Linked DNA regions of Macaca fascicularis. The protein of the gene in region 2 purifies or fractionates together with the protein of the main gene of each other region. This does not show direct contact. Links are inferred from orthologs where the notes say so. Each region holds a gene or a part of one and is shown on either strand. Other genes may lie near its edges.

Region 1 (3,652 bases), on a different chromosome or scaffold from region 2:
GGCCAGCCTCTACATTAAACTGCTTGTGTTGAGATCACATACAGTTGTAAGAAGCCATTAGGTACCCTTTACTCTGGTCCCCCAATGGTGACCTCCTCAGCCCTGTGGTGCGATGCCCCGGCCAGGATTCAGACATTTATACAGAAAGTACCCAGCATCTCCATTGCCTCCCTGCCCACCACCCGCTCCGTAACCCCAGTCACCCCGTACTTCTCCATTTCCATACACCTGATAATTCCAGAATGTCATGTCAGCCGAATCATGTAACAGGGAACCCTTTGAGATTGGCTTTTCTTGTGCATCCTAATTCTCTGGGGATGCATCCAGGGTGCAGCTTGGGATCAGTAGTCCTTTCCTTTTTTGCTGCTGACTCATATTCCATGGTACAGTGTTCCACAGTTTCTTTAATTATTCACCCATGGGAAGACGCGAGGTGTTTCCAGTTTTGTGACTCTTACGAGTAACACTCTGGTACACGTTTGTGGACAGTTTTTGTGTGAACGTTAGTTTTCATTTTTCTGGCTTAAATTCAACTGCTGGGCCATGTGGTAGTTAGAAAATTGTTACCATTCCCCTAGGCCTATCCTGGAAATAAAATATTTAAGATAAATGTTCTTTAAAGAGACAGGCAGCGAAGGTGGACAACATTTTCTCTTTTTTTCATTGTTTCATTTTTAGTTGTATGTGTATGTTTTTGGTAGGGAAATGAACCCATTGAAAGAGATAAAATACCTCTTTCCTCCCATTTTTCTGTCTCTTACATCTCCCTTACTGCTTCTGTCTTCTTTAAACGCCTGTAGATTCACCAGACCAGAGCACTTGGGCAGCAGCGCCAAGATCAAATGCAGCGGTTGCCATAGCTACCAGGAGTCCACGAAGCAGCTCACTATGAAGAAACTGCCCATCGTAGCCTGTTTTCATCTCAAAGTAAGTTTTCCAGAAAGCCAACTCTAATGGCAGACTTAGTTTTTAGTCCACAGTACGGCCCTCAGCCTTTTGGTTTGCTGTGCCGTTGCATTTTTCATAACTGCAGCAAGCAGGAAGAACACCTAGGAAGGGTGGATGTGAGTGAATTGTCCTCCTGTCTGTGAATTGTCCTTTTGTCTGTGCTGCGGTAAACAAAATCAGTGGCTTCACAGTGAAAGTAGGATGAGAGTTACTTTTCTTGGGAAGCGGAGTGGTTGTGACTTTTTTTTACTTCTGCCATTCCTCCAGCTACCCCTCCTCTGGTTTTCTGTTTTCTTTTAAGACAAAGGCCCTCAGCATTCAGATCTGGTCCAGGAGTCGTCAAGCTCTTTCTCTGAAGGCCCGGATCGTAAAGATGTCAGGCTCCACAGGCTGCGTGCGATCCTACGATTCTCTGTTGCATGTTCTTTGTTTCATTTTACCACCCTTTAAACATGGAAAGCACCCATTCCTAGCTTGCTGGCTGGAATGGGTGACTCCTGATCTAGGCAAAGGAATGTCTTCTGTCTGGTGAAAGGAACAATTTGCTTGTTTTTGCTGCCACGAGCCATGGATCTTTGTTTTGTTTTCTGTGCTTTGCTGGGTTTGCTGTGAGATTACTTCTTGTACCCTTGGTGTTACCACTGAACAGTCCCATCATTTGAAGACTTGACTTGAACCCTGTACATGAGGACTTGGGTGGATTACCATTATGTTTTTGAATCTGTAATTCTAGCTGTAGCTACAAGGCAATTCAATAAAATACAAAGAGATACACAGACACCTGTCATTGGAAGAAGCCCCTGAAGCTTCCAGTGACATTTCTGGTCTTCTTTCCTCTTCCCTCTGCCCCTTTCCTATTTCTGCAGCGATTTGAACACTCAGCCAAGCTGCGGCGGAAGATCACCACGTATGTGTCCTTCCCCCTGGAGCTGGATATGACCCCTTTCATGGCCTCCAGGTAGGTGGGGGTGTAGGCCCGTTCTGTGTCCGGAGGGGCTGTGATCTTATCAGGACAGGAATGCAGCTCGGATCTCCTATGGTAAGATGACTGTTGGCGGGTGCGGTGGCTCCCGCCTGTAATCCCAGCACTTCAGGAGGCCGAGGAGGGCAGATCACAAGGTCAAGAGATTGAGACCATCATGGCCAACATGGTGAAACCCCGTCTCCACTGAAAATAGAAAAATTAGCTGGATGTGGTGGCAGGCGCCTGTAGTCCCAGCTACTTGGGAGGCCAAGGCAGGAGAAACGCTTAAACCTGGGAGGTGGAGGTTGCAGTGAGCCAAGATCGCGCCACTGTACTCCAGCCTGGTGACAGAATGAGACTCCATCTCAAAAAAAAAAAAAGATGTCTGTTGATATTAATATAAACCCCACCTTCCCAAAATTTATTTATCCTGATCTTAAGATATGGCACATGTTAATGAGTGGTTTTTCATCAGATACTCTGTTTTTGTTTTGAATGTTTCTCTTAACAATTCTCAATCCACTTTCAAACCGGCAAAGTCCTCGAGGTAGGATCACAGCGAGAAGGCAGCACTTCAATTCATGGAACAGATGTTGAAGTTTGCAGCTGTAGCTTGCATTTTCCTTTCCACATCTGCCTACTATGGGGCACTTGGCATTGAGCTGCTTACCAATGCATGAGACAAATAGGAGTTTCCTGTGGCTCTGTGACAAATGACCAAAAACTTGGTGGCTTAAAATTAAATTTCCTCACAGTTCTAGAGGTCGGAAATCTGAAATCAAGGTGTTGTCAGGGCCCCATGGTCCTACAGGGGTCTGGGGGATTCCATTCCTCAGCGCCTCCAGCTGCCAGTGTTTCCACGTGTTCCTTCTGTGGCTGCGCCACTCCCCTCATTTCTGGGTCACGTGGCCAGCTCCCCTGAGTCTGTGTCCAGTTCCCTCTGCTTCTCTGTCATGACAGTGGTCACTGGCTTTAGGGCCCAGGCAGATCATCCAGGAGGATCTTATCTCAACATCTTTACTTCGAGTCTCTGCAAAGACTGGTTTTACAAATGAGGTCCCAGTCTCAGGTTCTGAGGGTCGAGACGTGGGTATTGTTATTTGCAGGGTGTTATTTTTTGGCGGCCACAGTCCCGGCCCCAGCACCGTGGAAAGCATGTTGCCTTTTGGTAGTTACTGGCCTGTCCCACCGCTGTAGCACACAGCTGACCTCCTGAATAAAACAAGACCACCAGAGTCAGAGCTTCATGCCATCAGCCTGACCACGATGGTCACGTACTGAGGGAGGTGACGGTACTGTTCTAAGGTCAGGGTCTCAAAGATCTTAGTGTTTCCTGCCAAACACAGCCGTGGGAAAATGCAGTAAACAATGCTCATGGCTTCCTCTTCCCAGCACCGCCTCTCCCCTGTCTCACTAGGAGAGGTGCTGGTCATGAAACAATGAGCAGCAATCTTTGTCCCTTTTGAGGAGGCACCTGCCTAGGTTGTGAAATGGATTCAGCTTACCCTTTCATGCTAACCCTTTACATGTGGGAGGAAGGGCGCCTTCACCATCTACTTTGTCACAAACCAAACTCAGATTCCTCCAGATCCAGCTCCCATTACCAGCCCTATTCAGGACCCATCTTGGAAGAACCAGGGGCCACACCAGGTGGCCCCAGGACCCAGGTGTGCTCTGAGGCAGAGGCCTCCACAGCTCGAGTGTCAGTGTCCTCACGAAACCTGGGGAGATTTCTACTTG
Region 2 (4,163 bases):
CTGGCATTCAAAACTTAGACATCTCACTAATTACCTGAGAAACCTTGGCCAAGTCAATTACTCTTATCCTCATTTTCCTCGCGTGGAAATGGAAATGCTATTACAAGCTTAACAGGGTTGTTGGGAAGATGACTTGAGAAAAGTAAGATACAGCAAAGCCTTGCCTTACCGATAAAAGTCACTCTCTGGGTCACTGTGCCGGATCTGGAATGGTGCATTGGGATTTTTACAATCTAAAGGCAGGAGGTCATCAGGGAGAGGAGGTGACCCAGGGCACGAGGGAAGAGGTTCACTCTCTTCAGTTTTTACACCTTCTGTCTGCTGCTGATTCTGGGCCTGCGCTGTGGCAATAAGGTTGCGAAGTCGTCGGTTGTGCTGAATCAACTGAATCGTATGGATGGTGAGACTACATGGCTCTGAGGGGATGTCCAGCATAGTGGGGGGCTTCGGCTTGTTGGCTGAGGGTTGGTGCAGGGGTGGGTCATGGACTTCCACCAGACGGAACTCCCGTGGGAGCAAATCAAAGGAACTTCTGTTGGTCTGGCTTGATGATATTGGTATCTCTCCCCAGTATCTCAACATTTTGGAATAAGAAGAGAAGAGGTCTCAGGATAATTGTAGATGATAACCTAAAAGTAATGTGTTTAAATCCTGGCAACTTTAGATTATAGGCTTCTGTAGTGAAAAATACGAGGTCTAGCCAGTTATTTATGTAAACAGCAGGCTATTTGTGACCACTTAGAAAAATGTCAGTGTCAGCAAAACTGTAGGACCAAAGATGTTCTCCCTAAACAAGAGAAATGTAACTGTTAGATGCTGGTTATTGTCATGCTATGACAATTCCTACTACACTGAACCACAGGGTAGAATTTGGGTCATTAGTAGACCAATAGCTACAACAGCATCTGGAGCTCTAGTATCCCTATTTCCATCTCACTCACGAACTCATTACCAGAACTACCATCATGCTCAATCCTGAACAATAAGCAAGGCCTGATAAAGTATCTTGATACATCTGTGCTGGATCAATAGGAGAAAAGCAAGTAGCGTTAAAGATAGTAAGAAGTAGTTCTTATTATGTGTATCTTAGGCATGGTCCTGCTGGAAAAATTTATGAACCACTAATATAAATGGCATTATGCTTTCAACTTTTGCAATATAGAATGTGAGGAATGTGAGAGATTTCTGCTGCCTCCTAATTGGTATCCCTTCCTCCAATCTCTCTTTGTATGTAATCTATTCTCTACACTGCTGCTAGACTTACTCTTTTTAAAACTTAAATCTAATGGCTTCCCATTGCCTACTGGAAAAAGTCAGAATTCCTTGGCTTATGATTCAACAAAATTCACAATCTGGTTTCAACTCACCTTTGCAGATTCATTGTCCATATGTCTCTTCAAGTTCAACAAACATTTATCAAATGCCTGGCATTCTGTGCGGGTCAAAGACTGATAATGTGAGATCCTTGCCCTGAGGTGAGGAAGAGAAACAGAAGCAGAATATTTCAATATGAAAGTACGTGGTAAGTACTGTTCTAGAGGTATATGGACCTGGGGTAGTGGAAGCACAAAGGAGGAACTCCCTGGGTGAAATGACTACCTTTGTTCTAACAACGTTATACTACTCAGTTTCTTGAGAATGCTGTCCATTTCCACAGTTGACACTTCCAGCTGTGAACTCTGCCAGAAATGCTCTGCCAACCCTGCACATCCCTGGCAGACTCATATTCATTTTTAAGTAAAGCATAAGTCCCCACCCTCCGTCATTTCCCCAGTGCATCTCCCTTTCTCTATTCTCACAGTGCTTTGCATGTCTACGTCACAGCATTTATCTTTGGATTTTAATTAGTACTTATCACAGTAGATTTTTTCCTCCCATCTATTTCTTATGGCCATGGTCTTGTTACAGGGCCAGGCACAGAGAAATATCTATCTGGCATTTGTTGAATGTTTACTATATACCAGACTTCACCTTTTTTGTTTGTTTCTTTTTTGAGACAGGGTCTCACTCTGTAGCCCAGGCTGGAGTGCAGTGGTACAATCGTAGTTCACTGCAGCCTCAATCTCCTGGGCCCAAGAAATTCTCCCATCTCAGCCTCTGGAGTAGCTGGGACTACAGCCGTGCGCCAGTATCTTTTTTTTTTTTTTTGGCGAGACAGGGTCTCGCCATGTTGCCCAGAGGGCCCCTCTGGAACTCCTGGGCTCAAGCAACCCTCCCGCCTCAGCCTCCCGAAATGTTGGGATTACAGGCATGAGCCACCGTTCCGGCTGACATTTATTGTTTAATTCAATTCTTCCAACAACCCTATGAAGCTAATAATCTTATCCCCATTTTTCAGAGTGAGGGCTGAGGCCTAGTGTCTTGCCCAATGTCACAAATGGCGAGGTCGAAAATCGAGTCTCCAGAGTCTGCACTCTTAACCACTAAACTATTCTGCCTTAATAATTAATTTCAGAAAAAAATAAATGAATGAACGAAATAAAAAAAAAAAAAAGTCGCCCTCTTCCCTTACTTTACCGAAAGGAGCAGGAAGAACAGGCACTGAGCCCAAGGAATGCCCAAGTCCCTCCAGGGGTTTTCTCGGTCACGGTCCGCCGGCGCAGGCGCCTATCAGAGGGTCCTGAGGTCGCCTGCTGTCCAGAGCAGCCGGAAAAAGGGGAGGTCTGGACCTGAACCGAGACAAGGAGGTACCACACTACTCACTGCTGCCTCACAGAGCGGGCTGGGCGGCTGTCTGGACCCCGAGAGGCCTGAGGCAAGGGTCGCGTCAAGCCCCAAAAGCTGGTTTGTTGATTAGTGAGCTAAGACCGCCGGAAGCGCTTCTTCTCACTCAAGCTATGCAACAGGAAGTCATTACGATCTCGTTGTAACCTCTAAAGATGTCCCCGTTCTGCACAGCATCCCGATAACCGTTTTTTCTCGTATTATGACCTTCTCGCGTTAGCACCAATTTGCAACTCTCTAGGTCGTGAAGGAGCAACTTCACCACCGCCGCCTGCAGACGCCACTGGGAGCTTGGGAGAGTGGGACGTGTACAGGAACGTAAAGACCGAAGGGTGAGGTTTCGAAGGAGCGGATTTCGAGGTTGCACTGATTGAGGATGGCTGACTTTCTCTCTCAGTCAGAGCCGCTGGCATCGCAAGAGCTCAGTGGGGACTTCAAGAAGCCAGCTCTGCTGGTGCCCGCAGCGGCGCGGAGTAAGGCCCCGGCCACCAGTTCTTCAAACCCTGAGGAGGTGCAGAAGGAAGGGCCCACTGCGTTGCAGGACCCCAGTTCTGGGGAGCCCGACGTCCCTCCTCCTCAGCCGGACTGCGGGGATTTTAGGAGTCTACAGGAGGAGCAGTCGCGCCCCCCGACAGCGGTTTCTTCCTCTGGCGGTCCAGCCCGGGCTCCCCCCTACCAGGAGCCTCCATGGGGTGGCCCTGCCACAGCCCCCTACAGCTTAGAGATCCTGAAGGGCGGCGCTATCCTTGGCACCCGTAGCTTGAAAGGGACGAGTTACTGCCTTTTCGGGAGGCTGTCTGGCTGCGACGTGTGCTTGGAGCACCCTTCGGTGTCTCGGTACCACGCAGTACTGCAGCACAGGGCGTCCGGCCCTGACGGAGAATGCGACAGCAACGGGCCGGGCTTCTACCTCTACGATCTGGGAAGCACCCATGGCACTTTTCTCAACAAAACTCGCATCCCACCTCGCACCTACTGTCGAGTCCACGTTGGACATGTTGTTCGCTTCGGAGGCAGCACCCGGCTCTTTATCCTGCAGGTAGGTAGAAAAACCTAGAATTGAAATCTCGGGCTCATTGGGCTGCGTTCTTGTGCTTCTTAAGCTTTTGATGAGGAAGAAGAATCTCCCATTCAGCGATTACAAAAGTGAAGGAATCAAGTCTGGCCTATCATCTCCAGAGTGCTGTACACATTGCCGTATTTATGAAAGTCATGTTCACAATCCCGAACTCTAAAATAGTTTTTTTTGTTTGTTTGATTTTTGGCCAGGTGCGGTGGCACGCGCCTGTAATCCCAACACTTTGGGAGGCCCAGGCGGGAGGATCGCTTTACCCCAGGAGTTTGAGAGGAGGCTGGGCAACATGGCAAGACCCTGTCTCTGAAAAAAAAAAAAAAAAAAATTAATTAGCCAGGCATCATGGTCCCAGCTACTTGGGAGG

The links.
Region 1: the proteins of SUPT7L (region 2) and USP22 purify together in Homo sapiens (affinity purification with mass spectrometry; 3 studies listed by BioGRID and IntAct, with this or other methods). This does not show direct contact. The link is inferred for Macaca fascicularis from reciprocal best matches to the Homo sapiens genes SUPT7L and USP22.

What each region holds. Positions count from the first base shown.
Region 1 is NC_088390.1:20,414,761-20,418,412, reverse strand, and holds part of USP22 (ubiquitin carboxyl-terminal hydrolase 22), read left to right. Parts: intron 1-800; coding exon 801-927; intron 928-1,814; coding exon 1,815-1,906; intron 1,907-3,652. UniProt on the Homo sapiens protein: Deubiquitinase that plays a role in several cellular processes including transcriptional regulation, cell cycle progression or innate immunity.
Region 2 is NC_088387.1:94,570,356-94,574,518, reverse strand, and holds the start of SUPT7L (STAGA complex 65 subunit gamma), read right to left. Parts: upstream 2,829-4,163; 5' UTR 2,513-2,828; intron 1,471-2,512; 5' UTR 1,382-1,470; coding exon 1,368-1,381; intron 788-1,367; exon of another isoform or gene 583-787; coding exon of another isoform or gene 575-582; coding exon 170-574; intron 1-169. Other genes in the region: SLC4A1AP (kanadaptin), read left to right, coding at 3,101-3,763.